2 linked regions of the Cricetulus griseus genome follow. The protein of the gene in region 1 interacts with the protein of each later gene in a biochemical or structural test. Links are inferred from orthologs where the notes say so. Each region holds a gene or a part of one and is shown in the gene's direction. Other genes may lie near its edges.

The links.
Region 2: the proteins of microtubule-associated protein tau (region 1) and Tuba4a are reported together in a solved structure, tested with the Homo sapiens proteins (2 studies listed by BioGRID, with this or other methods). The link is inferred for Cricetulus griseus from reciprocal best matches to the Homo sapiens genes MAPT and TUBA4A.

Annotation. Positions count from the first base shown.
Region 1 is NC_048600.1:117,266,745-117,274,511, forward strand, and holds the start of microtubule-associated protein tau, read left to right. Parts: upstream 1-2,508; 5' UTR 2,509-2,638; intron 2,639-7,767. UniProt on the Homo sapiens protein: Promotes microtubule assembly and stability, and might be involved in the establishment and maintenance of neuronal polarity.
Region 2 is NC_048595.1:428,369,650-428,377,459, reverse strand, and holds Tuba4a (tubulin alpha-4A chain), read left to right. Parts: upstream 1-3,512; 5' UTR 3,513-3,652; coding exon 3,653-3,658; intron 3,659-4,399; coding exon 4,400-4,622; intron 4,623-4,910; coding exon 4,911-5,059; intron 5,060-5,285; coding exon 5,286-6,257; 3' UTR 6,258-6,327; downstream 6,328-7,810. UniProt on the Homo sapiens protein: Tubulin is the major constituent of microtubules, a cylinder consisting of laterally associated linear protofilaments composed of alpha- and beta-tubulin heterodimers.

The DNA of each region.
Region 1 (7,767 bases):
GTGTAACAAAAGCATTGACCTTGAAAATGATAATGACATAAATACAATTTATCTATCATTCAGTGAGTTCCACTTGTTACTGTATAAGAAACCACACACCACACACACACACACACACACACACACACACACACTTATTAAATTGTCATACTCAACTTTGTCATGCCTACAACCAGCCCCCAAAATCTTGGTGGCTCCTGCAACAAATTTTAATTTTTGTTCACGTTGTATGTACTTCTTTAGGCCTTTTCACTGCAGGATCTGGGCTTCGGGAGCACTGCCTGGCAATATGTCTTTCTAGTAGTGGAAAGGAAGTCAATGATATAGAAACTCGCCATGCCTTAAGTTTCTGTTTGGATCGGTCTGCATCACATAGCTGGTAATGGACAAGGGTGTGTGATTCCCCACTCAGGAAAAAAACAACTACTGGAGACAATAAGAAAATGCCGGCCCTGCAAGATAAATACTAATTGGACACCTCTCCTCTGGAATAATTTGACTAAGTTCCTTGTAGAGACCAGAAATATCCCTTCTACTTGGGGTGACAGGAGAAGGCTTTGGAGAAATGTGAGCTTGGTTTTGAAGGTTAGGTACAGTGTTGATGGGGAGGAGAAAGAGCAAAAGGAACACCAGAGCAGAGGTGGGAGAGATTTAGTTAAGCAGCCTCAGTCACAGAGTTGGTGATTGATAAAAGTGGTGTAGATGGGTGTTCTGATCTAGGGAAAGAGCTGAATGTGAGGCCAAGGAGTTTCAGCGCCCCTGTCTGGAAACTGGTAGACATCTTTGGGCAAGAGACTGCCATGAGAGCAGGGAAACCACTAAGGTCCTACATGTCCAGAACGAAGTAGGAGTCTTGAAGCAGGATGGTGATCATGGGAAGAACAGCAAGGTCAGACCTGGAAATTCAGAACCTGGGGCTTAAGAAATTAGCCTGGCTTCCATCATCTACCCAAAGCTCCCAAAATAATACAGTAATTAAGCCCATATTTAAAAAAAAAAAATGGTGTCACCAGAAAACCCAGCCCAAAGCTTTGCACATTAGTTGAGATTTATGAGTGTTCTGCCTATAAGTATGTTTATGTGTATGTATGTTTGTACGTGCACCAAGGGTATTCGTGGTGCCCTTAAAAATCTGGAAGGTGTTGGATCCCCCGGATCTGTAGTTACAGACAGTTGTGAGCTGCCATGTGGGTGATGGGAATCCTGGCCCTCTGCAAGTGCAGCAAAATTCACTGTGTAGCCCAGGATGATCTTGACCCTCCTGCCCCAGCCTTCCTGAATGCTGGGATTTGAGATATAAGCCAACACACTGAGTTTATACAACCCTGGAGCTTTTTAAACAACAGCTGGGATAGTGGTGCACATCTTTAATCCCAGCATTCTGGAGGCAGAAGCAGGCTGGTGGATCTCTGTGGAGCCCTGGGCCAGCCAGGGCTCCATAGAGAACCTGCCTTGTAAAAGAAAGTAAAAGTCATGCAAATTAAAGCTTCCAGACGAGATCCCACCCCTCTGGCAAGAGGTGCCGACCCCTCTTCCTTGCATTTGAACAGGCTCCAGCTGTCCAAGAGCTCTGAGCTTCGGGGAGGTGAGAAACCTAAACTACAACCACAGCCCACGCCTGAGCAGCTAGAATGAGGACTAATGGCCAATTTCCACATGGAAGCCTGACATCCATCAGGTGGCCATCTCCAGCAAGCACCTTAAAAACTGAGCTCTCCAGCTGTACAAAGGTGTCTCAACGAACCAGATAAAAATAGCTCTGTGAAAATGCCTTGCAGTGTGGTAAGCATCATTAAAACGAACCTATTTAAAATTTTTCTTCTCTAGGGTCAAGGTTGGATAACTAATGGATTTGAACGCTCCTTGATTTAAAAAAAAAAAATTCATGAAAACTCTAAACTGTATTGTGATCAATGTTAATCTGTTCCAAGAGGGTTTGTCAAGGAAATAATAATTCACTTTGGCCATTAACCAAAAAAAAAAAAAAAAAAAAAAAAAAAAAAAAAAAGGTGCGGCCCCTGGGAAAGTGGTCTCTCTCCGGAGGACCCCATTTTGGGGAGACGCCTGCAGGAGGCCTGGGGGTCCAGCGTGTCCCGCCTGGCGAGCCAACGAGGGGGAACTGAAAAGCGGACAAGGACACACATACCGCTTCGCCTCGGCCCGCGGGGACAGAGGGAGGAGACCCCGAACTAGACAAAGGCTGCAGCCCCGGGAGGCCGGGGTGCGCGTGCGCCACGGAGCACGCGCGTGCGCGCGGCGGTCAGTGCGGCGGCCCGAGGCGTGGCGGGACCCGGGAAAGGAAGCGAGGCGAGGAGCGAGCCGGGCGGTGCGGGGAGGGGAGGGCTGCGGATGCTCGCGCGCGCCCCCTGGTGGACGGAGGAGGAGGCGCCCCCTCGCAGGCCTCACTGCCCGCCCCTCCCCTCGAGAGGTTCGCGCTCCCGTGGCTCGCGCCTGCGCCGCCCGCCGCCCTCGGGAACGCGCTCTCTCGGCGGCGCGCGCTCCCAGTCTCCACCACCCACCAGCTCCGGCTCCAGCAGCAGCGCCGCCGCCACCGCCCACCTTCTGCCGCCGCCGCCACAGCCACAGCCACCTTCTCCTCTGCTGTCCTCTTCTGTCCTCGCCTTCTGTCGATCATCAGGTAAGTGCCCCGCTCTGAAATCCCGTCCCCATCTGGCCCTGGGCGCCATCCTCCTGTCGCCCCTTGCCCCAGAGATGGATTTAGGGCGCTGGACATCAGTCAGGCGCAACGACGGGGGGCCTCTCTGCGCCCTCGGCGCTGGGGAGCTGGGAAGGAAACGCGTGCAAGAGATGCACGCACGCGGGTGAATGCGTGTGTCTGTGTGCTGGGGTCCGCACCATCCGTTCCACGCAAACGGGGGGGGGGCGTCTGTGCCATCAGGGTGGGGCGCGGATGGCGGTGACCCAGGGGAGGGGGCTGCTCTGTGCTCTGGATCTCAGCCTTTTGCCGCAATGGGCGTGTGCGTGTGTGTGTGTGTGTGTGTGTGTGTGTGTGTGTGTGTGTGTGTGCGTGCGTGCGTACGTGCGTGTGTGTGTGCGTGTGTGTGTGTGTGTGTGTGTGTGTGTGCGTGTGTATGGGGGTCCAACGATGATCTCCGAAACTGAACCTGAAATCAGATTTCTCTGCTCCCGATTGCCATCAGTCCCAAGGAAGGTGTGGGTGGATTGGGTCCTAGAAAAGATGACTGCCTGCATGCCTCTCCCTGACAGTGATTCTGACGGGGCCTTCACTGGCCCTGATTTTAGGCGGTGTCCCGCCCCCTCCCCTTTTCCTCCTTCAGAAGCCGGCAGGGGACATTTGGGGGCTGGGAGAAATCGGGAGAATGGGGAGGGGTCCAGGCGCTGTCACTTTAGCCGCCCTTCCCCCTGCGCGCGCTTGGTACGGTGACAGGGGCAGCGCCGTGCCCGAAAGAAGGTAGTGCGCGGATTAGAGGCAGGGGTCACCTGGCCTCGCGGTGTCAGCGAGCTTGCCAGCCGCGGTTCCCCGCTCGAGGGCTCCTCGCACAGTCACAGCCAAGCACAGACCTGCGCGAGGGCTGCAGGTGCATTTCAGGGCGGATTCCTTTCTCTGCGTTCTGCGCCGGGCTCCCGGCATGTGCGCTCCCTGCCGGAGGCACGGGCTGGCGCGCAGGGCTCGCCCCTCACTGCGGCAGTGGGTGTGGACCTGGGTGGGCGAGGAGGGGGAAGAGTAGGATGTGTCTCCTCTCGTTGCTACCCCTCCCCCGGTTTTTTCCTCCTCTGAACGCGAGGTGCCATCTTTTCGCGGCAAGTCACGTCTCTGTCGTAGCATGCCAAGTGCTGTGGTCGGGCTTTGGAGGACCCGGCTGGGACTCGCGTTAAGGAGCAAAGGGTGATGAACGTGGACATCTTGGCATTCAGTTTCTGCGTCGTGCGTACCCGGTCGTTCACCTGGGGTCTTCTAAGAGAGCTCGCTGCTTTGTTCGTCGAGGTTGTGTGATTTATAATCTGCGCTCCTAGCCCGTTTTTTTTTTTCCTTTCATTCGACGACAATATTTACCTACGCGCTACGCTCAATTCCATCCTTTTTTTCACTACCCGTTTTAGACCCTTTGTTGGATCTACAGACTTGCTGGGGTCTAGTCACAGCCCCCATGGCATGCATGGAATGGACGTGACCCTGAGCAGCCTTCTCCCCCAGTTCCGCCCAGAGCCAGGGATCCTTAGCTGAACCACACGGGTGGGATTCTAGGTAGACTCTCGTGTGCAGGTGTCCTCAGAGGAACCACATCCCTCCACGCCCAGCGCATCCTGGGGACAACACCCCAACATGTTTCACTGCTAGGGGCGCCAGTTTACCCTTAGGAAGGAGAGATTCGGCAAGCCCGGCTTCCCCACCACCTCCTTTGAGCCCTCTTGCCTCTCCCGGTGGGAGAGTGTAAGAAGAGGGCATGAGATCCCCTGGGATGCTGCGGCCACACCCATCCCTCCCAACCCACCGGGAGAGGGCGGGTTAGTGGTTGCCATGGGAACCATACCCGCCAGAGGAGGAACCTCTGGGCGTTACCCCATCCTTTACTCAGCGGAGAGTCAGAATCCTGGGGTAGTCTGACCGTGCCAGCTTGTCTTATTGGAAGACGTGGGGAAGGAGCTCCTCATCCCTAACACGGGCATCATTCTCTTTGGCACTGGCAACCGTAGCTATCCAGATCGGTGCTTCTGGTGTATTTTTATTATAGGCATACTGAGTGGTATTATTTTGTTAATATTGTTTAAATGGGGAGCTCTCACTTAAAAGCCCACCCTTACAACCTCCCTGGAAACCGTAGAGGGATGGAAAGCGAACAGGTCCCAGCCTCCCCCATCCTGCAGTAAGCAGTTTTCCTAGTTAATTCTACCATTGAATACTGGTGCAGGCGTGCAGTTTTGAGACCGACCGAGCACCTTAAAGGCCGAATCGCCCACGGGGGCCGCCCAGCTTGATCTAGGGGTGGAACGCCCTCTCCCGGTCAGACTGCGGCCTGAGGCTGTGGCGTCATGGCTGGGCCCGCCCGACAGAGATTTCCAGCAGCTGAAGGATGGGTTCAAATATGACCGATCCCTGCTAGGATTCTCGGGGTGCACGCGGAAAAGGGAAGTCTGAAAGGGAGGGTGTCTATTGCAACCAGTTGGGCAAAGGTGTCACAGCCCTGTAAGGGGGCGGGGGAGAACATTTCACCCAGTGAAGAAACAAAGCACAGACCACGCGTCTTCGAACTCGCTCCATTTTGCACTGTGTTGGCAGTCGGGTGAGGTATTGAATTGTTAATAAAAGATCATCAAGGGTTACTGCATGGCCTTCTGCGGAGATAGAGAGGCTCCGTTCCTGGCTCGGCCCTTACTTTAACAAACCAGCTTCACTTCAGAGCTAGAGTTTGTGCTGAAGCCGGGACTGTGGAGCACTGAGCCAACCTGGGCTCATCCGAAAGGGTTCAAGTACCGAACGAGAAAATTTCAACCACCAGCTTCAGCAGGTGGGTGAGCGCTTTTATGTCCCAGAGGCCCTATTCACCCTCTGGCGCTCAGGAACTTGTAATTCCAAGTCTTTTTTCCGGCTGGTTAGCATTGGATGGATGGATGATGGGGAACAGACTAACCATTCCCTCCAGAACTTCTTTGGCTCTGCCGGGCTCTTGAAGAATACCCAAATTTTGCAAGATCCCTGCCCTGCCCCTTCAACTGTCGGTCTCACAGCAGTAAAGGAAGTATGGACGTTGGTAGGTTAATTCTGCGGATACAATTCTGAGATGTCATCTTGTGCTTCATGCTGCTGCTTGTGTCCACCGAGTAAGAACTGCTTCTCTACTTGCCATTTGCAAAGCTTCTCTAAATAAATGGTTATCTAGCTAAGCGTGCCCATCCCTCCCCCCAGCTGCCAGGCTGGCTACAATGCCTGCTGATTTTTCTGCACTGTTTGCCTCGCTGGCAGATGTGTATAGAGTACAGCACTAACCTGGCTTGGCTTCGGGGCTCATCTTTGAATGATCTGAGAGCTTAGCTTGGCTAGGATTTTGTTTTGTTTTGTTGTTGTTATTTGTACCAGTGACAGTCCATGGTGTGTCTCTCTGGCCCTGCACAGCCCCTGTCTACACACTTGCATGGGTGGTGGAAGGGTGTGGTTTTTAAGTGGCTTCTAGTGTCAGGCTCTGTTCCCTAGAGAGGAACAAAGGAAGCAGATAGTGCCCAGGAGTTGCAAGGAGAAAACTTAGTAATGGTTTAATTGAGGTAAAGTCAGGCTTGCTCCCATTGGGAAAATAAGCCCTTGTGCTGAGCAAGCTCTTTGACCCACTCGTCCTTGGAGGGCTAGACAGGGCTCTGATGCCCTTTATGTAGACTGACTTTTCCTTCTCCCTTTGTAACATCAACACATCCAGTTCATTTGTTTAAAATTTTCAGGAATGTTGTTTTATTCCGTCTCCCCTCTGCATGTTGTACATGGCTTTGGTGACTCCCTGGCTTTGTGTGTGAATATGCATTCATTTCCCAGTTGAATATATGAACCTTTCCAACTGTGCCCTCTCTTCCTATTTATTTAGTTAAGATCTTCCTTGATTCCCCTCTTGAAAAGGAATCACTTCAAAGGAGATTGTAAAAGAACTACTCTTACTGACCTAACACAGAACTACACATGTAGTAGGTACCTGGCCCATCATCTTTTAGCAGATAAGTGGATAAAATGGAGGATAGATGGAGGTCGAGAGGGCATCAAAGAGAAAGTGGAGTGGGCAGCAGCATATCCAAGGTCACAGCATCGGGAAGCTTGGGAACAAATCCAATCTATTTTGTCTGTGTGTCCCATTGGTGGCCAGACAGCTACCTGTGCTCTGCTTCAGGTCCCATAGCTTCCGCCAGAGGCTCACCTGCCCCTTGTTGGCGAAAAGGGGAAGAAGAGTGGAGAGGGGGATATCCCACTGCACCAGCCCACCTGTGGGGTGGCCATGGTCCTGTTGCAGGTGACTGGGATGGAGGTGGGGAACCTCTCTCTCTCTGCTCCCTCTGTCCTCACCCTGTTTTCATCAGCACTTCAGAGATCGTCATTTCTCTTCACCCTCAGAAACACCCATCTGACTATTCCACACACAGGAGTTAGGGGTACCCGGCCAGGTCAGGCGAGAAGTCCCTAGCTGATCAATGAATCTTTTCCTGGAAAATCGTGGTCCTCAGATGGTGACTGAGATGTTTGGAAAGTAGTTGGGGGGGTGCTGTTACTGGCATCTTGTGGGTAGAAGCCAGAAGTGCTGCTAAATATTACAGGACAGACCCCAGATGTCACTGGCACTGGCCTGGGGAAGCCCTCTTGTACCTCAGTTGTGTCTATTGCACGTCTTCTAGGAGTGCTGCTGCTGGAGATGACCTCAGATGGGCCTGGCTGCCTCACTTGCAGAATGCTAACTGTTATCATCCCAGACAGAGAAGCTGCAGTCCAGAGAGCTCTCATAGCCAACTAAGGATGCACAGCATGTGACACAGGGATAAGCCCAATGGGGCTTAATAGACCTTTATGGGCTAGCCTGGGAACCTAGTCAGGCTTTCCAACCACCCAGTCCTTTTACAAGAGTCTGACTGGATCACAGGCTAGAATAAATTACAGAGGGATGGATTTAAGTGTTCAATGTCTGATTTTGACATCTAGAGCAAAGTAGTTTTGTTCCACCTTGGTGCTCTGTTTATCAGACAGAGAAGGAATCTTCTCCAGGGACCTTAACCCCCACCTGATTCAGGGACTCTGGACTCAGAGTTGACTCAGAGACA
Region 2 (7,810 bases), on another chromosome or scaffold:
GGAGAGAGGAGTTACTCTCTGTAAGGGAGCACTCTCAGGTGGTAAACATCTGGTGCAGCTGTGGTCCCTAGTTTTTGCATACACTGACCAATGGTTCATAAACGTTCACAATTGGACCAGAGGAAGGCTTTGCCATTTTGAGTCTGACTGAAGGCTTTGGTGCCTTCTCATGGGTCTGGGGTGTTGGTTCTTGACATGGCTGTGCCCACTTCAAAAACAAACATACACCCAGTGTGTCATTCACTAAGTTCTTACACATTCACTCCAGCCTTCATTGGCTCCCCACACATGAAAAGAAGTATTGCAGGGAAATGTCGGTGGTTTTTCTGTTGAAGGAAGAGCATGCTTGTGCATGAACTCTGATGGGAGGTAAGAAGCATGGACTTCCCCAGGCCCCACCAGTGTCTTTCCCCTTCTGACCCAGTTGCCCAGCATTGCCTCAGCCATGAGCACAATTATGTGAAAAATCTGAGTCCCAGGGACTCTTCTAACATGGAGGGGACTTGAAGGACACCGCAACCCAAAAATCCTTCCTCTTTTCATATGCTAACACCACAAAGTGCAAATAAAACTTTTCTTCTTTTGTTAGTTTGCTTTTTGCAGCACTGGGGACTGAACCCTGGCCTTGCACATGCTAAGCAAACACTGTATCACAAAGCTATACCACCATCAGAATGAAACATTTCTGAGAGGGACTTCAAGTTGCAACTCCTTTAGGGCCCCATCTATGAAGTGTAACAGTTCATTGAATGAATGCATGCTTAGCAAATGTTCTAAGTACCATGCTAAGAACCAAGGACTCAAAAAAACAACAAACAAACAAAACAGAATAATACAATATAGCCCTTGCCTTCAGGATGTAAGACAGGTTCACAAACAGAGTGGTATGTAGTACATATACTAAGACAAGTGGGAACAGGAGCTATGGGAACCCAGGTGGTTCCATATACATTGCTCTGCTGGGTGTGTACACAGTCCTGCACCTGTCTGGTGCTCACAATTGAAACGGTTACCTCAGGTTTTACAAACGAAGAGCTGAAAGTCAAACAAGTTTAGAGTTTTGCCTGATACCTCAGATCATTTATATCCCTTCTGCTGTGTGGATACACAAGGAAACAAGAGAAAGGCTGCAAAGTGGTCACTGTGTCCTGTGATCATCAAGGCTCTTTCCTCTGACTAGACTATGCATGACTCATGTTTGGAAGCAGCCTAATGCCCTAAATGCCCTTGTTCGTTTCCATTTTATGAATGAGCGCCCCACCCCTACTCCCCACCCCTGTGCTGTGGATTGAACCCAGGACTTCACAAATGATGGACAAACCTGATACCGACTCAACTACACCTTCAGCATCTCCAGATGAACCTTAATTCTCCTAATCAGATGACAAGAACTGGGAAGAGAGAGCTTGTCAAATTTATTGTGCTCTTTTCTGTATCTTCTCAGTCAGATGCCACTAGCTACTTTGTAGTTAGATAGTTGCCGTCACATGGTACTATGTTATGTGTTCAAACAGTCCTGTCCTTAAGAAGAGGGGGGGGGGAAGGCCGGTAAATCTTTTCCAAGTGATGACTAACCTGGGTTTCTTAAGGTCATGACAACCAGCACCTAGTCTCTGCCTGATGGATTTTCTCGGTCCGAGAAAGCAGAAAGAACTTTTAGAAAGGCCTGTCATCGTACAAAACGGAAATGAAACGCTAGAAGGAGGAATCTCAGTGAAGCCAAGTCACTAGTCCAAGGATGCACAGGGTCTCCTGGATGCTGCTGGGGGGCTCTGGGTTCTGTGCTCCCCCGCAGCAGGCATGCAGGAGGTCGTGGCGAGAGCTCACTAATAGTGACGGCGCTGATGACGGAGCCTCCGACCGGCGGGTGGCAGGTGAGAAGTGGCAGATTCTCGCGTCGGCCCTCACGGATTGGCTGTGCGGCTCAGCGCTGCGGGACAGTTTACGAGATCGTCATCCTGGGGCTCAGGCTCTGTAGTTCTCGGTCCTCGGCCTCCCACAGGGGGCGAAAGCCTGCCATCTCGGCCGGGGACCAGCAGGAGGCGGTCTGCTGTAAGGGGGTCTCGGGCGATCAGCCCCAGCAACCCAGCCCGCCCGAAGCTCCCGGGAGGCGACGCTGGGAGGACAGCGGAGGCCGCCAGGAACAGCCGCTTCTGAAGGACTGCTTGAACCTCATCCTCCCTAAATCGGAACATCTGCACCATGGGCGTTCGCGTGACACAGGTGCAGTTGAGACACTCCCTGTCACCGCACCCTGCGTCCCTGCTTTGGACCTTCAGAATCCGGGGCGTTGGCTCGAAACCAGGAACGAAAATGGGCCTCTGCTTCTAGCCCAAACTCGACAGGTGAGGGAATCCGGCACGGCAGGGGGAGGGGATCAGACTTGGCTTCACTCCTCGTGGCCACCTACCCTGACGAGGTGTGGTCTTTAGACCTCCCCGCCCCACGGTGGGCGGGCTGAGCGTGCGGGTCCCGCCTCCTGCCTATAAGAGTGGTGCGGCACTGCAGCTCCGCAGATCTCACCGAGACCCGTGACCCCGACTCAACGTGAGACGCACAACCCAGACTCATCATGGTGAGTGAGGCCCCCCCTGGGATCTCTCTGGTCCTGTAAATGTCCCGCTCCTTTGGAGAACTCCCTCTAGAGAAGCTGGGGGGCCCTTTACTTGGCTCTCCGAGTCTCTGGGAGATGCAAGAGTTTTGCACTTCCCCCCACCCCTCCTGGTGACTTTGGCCTAGTGTGTTGTCCACCTTCAGAGTGTGACCGGGGGATGATGTTTCTTCACTAGCAGAGAGGAGCCCTACTGTATTGCCCTCCGGCCGAACCAAGAGTCTTGTGTCCCAACCCTCCTGAGGGGAGTCACGCGGTCCTGCACCCAGTCCTCTCCTCGGGCGGCGGAAGACCTGCTTGGCTGTCCCCGTCACCCATCTCTATCCCCTGAGTCCCTGGGACTGACCGAACACGTGCTTGGCGCCTGTCGGTAGAAGGGGTTACTTAGTACCGCACCCCGTCTTCCTCGGTGTGCCTCCTTCCCACTTACACCCCCATACGTGACTCAGCACCCCCTTCTGAGCCAGAAAGGGTGGCGGGAATGGGGTTTGGCCTCAGGAGGCCAGCGGGCCCCTCCTACGGGAGAGCTGGTGCTAAGAGGACGGGCAGAGACAGCTGGCGCTGATCGACAGCCCCGGCCGAGGCCAGGTTGGCGGGGGAGGGGAAAGAGGTGTCTGTAGGGGGTTGTATTTATAGCCCCGGAGCGGGGGCAGAAACCCAATCCGGGCTTTCGGCTGGGAAGTAACTGGAAAGACTCCAATGGGAGAGCAGACGTAGGGCCCAGGTACAGATGGCTCTCCCCTTGCCTGGTGCGTGAAGCAAGGCGGGTTCCCTCAAGGGCCTCCTGGCAGGTTCCACTTCCTTTTCTGGGTACTTAGAAATTGCAAAAACACCCCCCACACACACACACCTCCCGCCGCCGCCGCGTGCGCGCGCGCACGCGCGCCACTTGGTTGTGGGAGGGTGCTGCAAGGGTTAAATTATGGACTGCCTGGCCGGAGCTTCAGACGGCCAGTGCACCAGTATACCTGTATTGCCTGCACCTGCCGTCAGCGCTTACCCGCATTATTGCTGCTATTTCCGTGCGGGCTGAGGCGGAGGATGGAGGTGGTGAAGCCATACAGAGTGTGGGGGTGGAGGTGGGGAGAGGAGCCAGATGGGATTGATTCCTCAAGGCCAGATGGGATTTAAAGGTGGTGGGGGTTACCCCATTCTGATGGCCAGAATGGTCAGCTGATACCAGATGGAAGGTTGAGACACCTCTTTGCCCACAGGAAAGAAGGGGAGAGGGTTACGAGAAATTTTATCTTCAAGGCAAAGATTAACCAAGTAGAGTGCTGGCTATAAACTGTAAAAGATATTTTAGAAGCTGCATGGACTGGAGGCAGCTGGAAAGCCTGTCTGTCTGTCTGTCTGTCTGTCTGTCTGTCTGTCTGTCTCTCTCTCTCTCTCTCTCTCACACACACACACACAACACACACACACACACACACACACACACACACACACACACACATCCTGTTATAGTTGCTGCAGCCCCGCCTGTCATGTGTGCATGCCCTCCCTGTCCTCTCTGAGTGTCCTGTGGAAGTTAACAGGATTATACAGCTCTCACTTGATAAATTTTCTAAGGGGTTGGTCTGCCCTGCTGGACACCTCAATCAGGGAAGCCCTGTGCTAAGGAGACTGGAGAGGCTGCCAGCTGCTTCTGACCTCTCAGCTCCAACCTGACTGTACTTTTACCAACTGAGTAATCTTAGCTAATAGGTGACAGGGTGGGAGAGGACCTCATCTAGTGGGGAGTTGTAGATGTGGCACTTACGCTGTGACCTTCTCTGTATCCCTCAGCGTGAGTGCATTTCAGTCCATGTGGGGCAGGCAGGTGTCCAGATGGGCAATGCCTGCTGGGAGCTCTACTGTCTGGAACATGGGATTCAGCCTGATGGGCAGATGCCCAGCGATAAGACCATTGGTGGAGGGGATGACTCCTTCACCACCTTCTTCTGTGAAACTGGAGCTGGAAAACATGTGCCTAGGGCAGTCTTTGTGGATCTGGAGCCTACTGTAATCGGTAAGCAGGGGTGTGGAGGGGCACTTTTGAGGAAAGTCGAGTGTCTCTTGCAGAGTGTCTAGACTAGGTTTTTGTGATCTTGAAGCCCCTTGACTTTATTTGATGATGAAGATGGATGCTGACCCCAGGCTGGTAGAAGAATGAGCTAGTTCTTCCATGTATCTGCCATTCTTGAGGGTGGGGAGGAGGAGGGTCTCTGCTGAGCATGGCCTTGTGGTTTTTGCCTCAGCAATGTGATATTTATATATATATATATATATATATATATATATATATATGGTCTTTTAGATGAGATCCGAAATGGCCCATACCGACAGCTCTTCCACCCAGAGCAGCTTATCACTGGGAAAGAAGATGCCGCCAACAACTATGCCCGTGGCCACTACACCATTGGCAAGGAGATCATCGACCCAGTGCTGGACCGGATCCGCAAACTGGTGAGACTATAGCTTGGCAGCGAGGGAGCTATGGAGTCAATGTTCAGGAAGTTTTCAGATCCATTTCTGGGATCGTCTCTAGCTGTATGTTTTAGAATTCAATGCTGTTTAGGGGGACATTCAGTCTTTGCCCTAACTTCTGAGATACTTTAGGCCTCATAAAACTAGAAGAAAATTCCTTAGGCTTCTCCCCTACCTACATTGCTCTTTCTTCCTTGCCTTTCAGTCTGATCAGTGCACAGGACTTCAGGGCTTCCTAGTATTCCACAGTTTTGGAGGGGGCACCGGCTCTGGCTTCACCTCCCTGCTGATGGAGCGGCTTTCTGTTGACTATGGCAAGAAGTCCAAGCTGGAGTTCTCCATCTACCCAGCTCCACAAGTGTCCACAGCTGTGGTGGAGCCCTATAACTCCATCCTGACCACCCATACCACCTTGGAGCACTCAGACTGTGCCTTCATGGTGGACAACGAGGCTATCTATGACATCTGCCGCCGTAACCTGGACATTGAGCGTCCAACCTATACAAACCTCAACCGCCTCATCAGCCAAATCGTCTCCTCCATCACAGCTTCCTTGCGCTTTGATGGGGCCCTCAATGTGGACCTGACAGAGTTCCAGACCAACCTGGTGCCCTACCCTCGAATCCACTTCCCCCTGGCCACCTATGCACCCGTCATTTCTGCAGAGAAGGCCTACCATGAGCAGCTGTCAGTGGCAGAGATCACCAATGCCTGCTTTGAGCCTGCCAACCAGATGGTGAAGTGTGACCCTCGGCATGGCAAGTACATGGCCTGCTGCCTGCTCTACCGTGGGGATGTGGTGCCCAAGGATGTGAACGCCGCTATCGCTGCCATCAAGACCAAGCGCAGCATCCAGTTTGTGGACTGGTGCCCCACAGGCTTCAAGGTTGGTATCAACTACCAGCCACCCACTGTGGTGCCTGGGGGTGACCTGGCCAAGGTGCAGCGTGCAGTGTGCATGCTGAGCAACACCACTGCCATTGCTGAGGCCTGGGCCCGCCTGGACCACAAGTTTGACTTGATGTATGCAAAGAGGGCTTTTGTACACTGGTATGTGGGTGAGGGCATGGAGGAGGGGGAGTTCTCTGAGGCTCGAGAGGACATGGCTGCCCTGGAAAAGGATTATGAGGAAGTAGGCATCGACTCCTATGAGGATGAGGATGAGGGAGAAGAATAAGCAGCCGCTTGGAGCCGGTTTTCATTGTTTATTGCAAAATCCTTTCGAAATAAAGTCTCCCTGCACGGTTTCTCGTCCCCCTTGGTGACTGCTTGGCTTCTGCTGTGGCTGCTACTTCCCGCTATTTGCTGCTCACGACCTTTTACCATTTCATGCCTGAAGGTGAGCCCTGTATTGAGCCCCAGAAAGTATGATGTAAAGTCCTAAGGACACCCAAAATAGGAAAGAAATGAGGACCAAATCCTGGACTTGTCTGTCTAGCTACAAACTATTGCAAGATCCAAGTCTTCACTTTTCCTAATAATAATTGATGTCTGGTGGGTTTTTTGGTTTTTTTTTTTTTTTCCAAGTGTCTAGTGGCTTCTGTGTTGGATGATCGACTGCTTTTGCTCTTGCTGCTGCTGCTTCACTCAACAGCTTTAGAAGCAAGGCCTGGCCCAAGCTTCGTTGTACACTGAGGGTTTAGGAATGGGGACTGGGCCAGCCCAAAGTTCCTGGGCATAGAGCCACCCTCACAAACTTGGGGGATGGGCGGGAACAAGGGCAATCTCCTGGTTGTTTGTGCCATCACACCTCCAGCAGCTTTGCAGAGCTTGCTGTCTATCTTGCTTACTGGGGCTTGAGCTATGCTATTAAAAGTCAGGACGTCTCCCCTCTGTTTGTTTTCCTTTGGCCTCAGCCTCTGCTTGGGGTGGAAGCCTGCCTGGACCCTAGGGAAAAATTATACTTCGCTAATAGGCACCCTAGGACTCAGGTTGACGTCAGCATGTAGAGGTGGGCATGGCTTGGGAGGAAGCTTCAAAATCTCCAGGACAGCCAACCCTGCCCTTGCCTCCCCTCCCTGGTGATTCAGGGACGCAGTGCCCTTCCCTGAGGAACTGGTTTAAAGCCCAGCTAAGGCTGGGTGCCTGTTTACTCAGCAAATGGGGCAGGAAGTGCCTGCTGGATACTGCCACAGGCCACTAGCCTCATCAATTATTAACTGTGTATGAGCTAGAATAGTCAGGGAGACTGGAAAAAATGGAAGCCAGTTCCACTCCCTTTGTCCTCAGCTGAGGGAGACCTGTAGGCTTCCATCCAGAGGTCATGGAGTTGGCAAACCTGCTGGGCTGGGCTGTTCTAAGCTACCCACCTTCAGAATGAGTGACAGAACTAGTGGAGTGTGCTTTCAAAGGGACCCTGGTCCCACTTCTCAGTACAGGCAGAAAACCAGCTTAAGCTGGAGACTCTGGTTTTGACCAAGGGAAGCTTAAAGACCTGTCTGCTGCCAAGCAGTCAAATCTTAAGAACTCTATCTGCCTTTGCCATCACACCAGTCCCTCTTCCCAGGCTATTCCCTTGGAAATGGTAACTAAACGGTTCGTTCTTTTTCTCTCCAGACACAATGACCTAAAATACACGTTTTCACTTTATTCTCCTGTTTATGTATCTCCTGCTACCAGATTTGGAGGCAGAACATGATGTGCGCCCAGCAGTCCAGCTTTGAGCCCTACTTTGTTTCACTCTCCCCCAACTCACCCTAGGCTCCTAGCCCAGGTACTGGGATAAGAGAG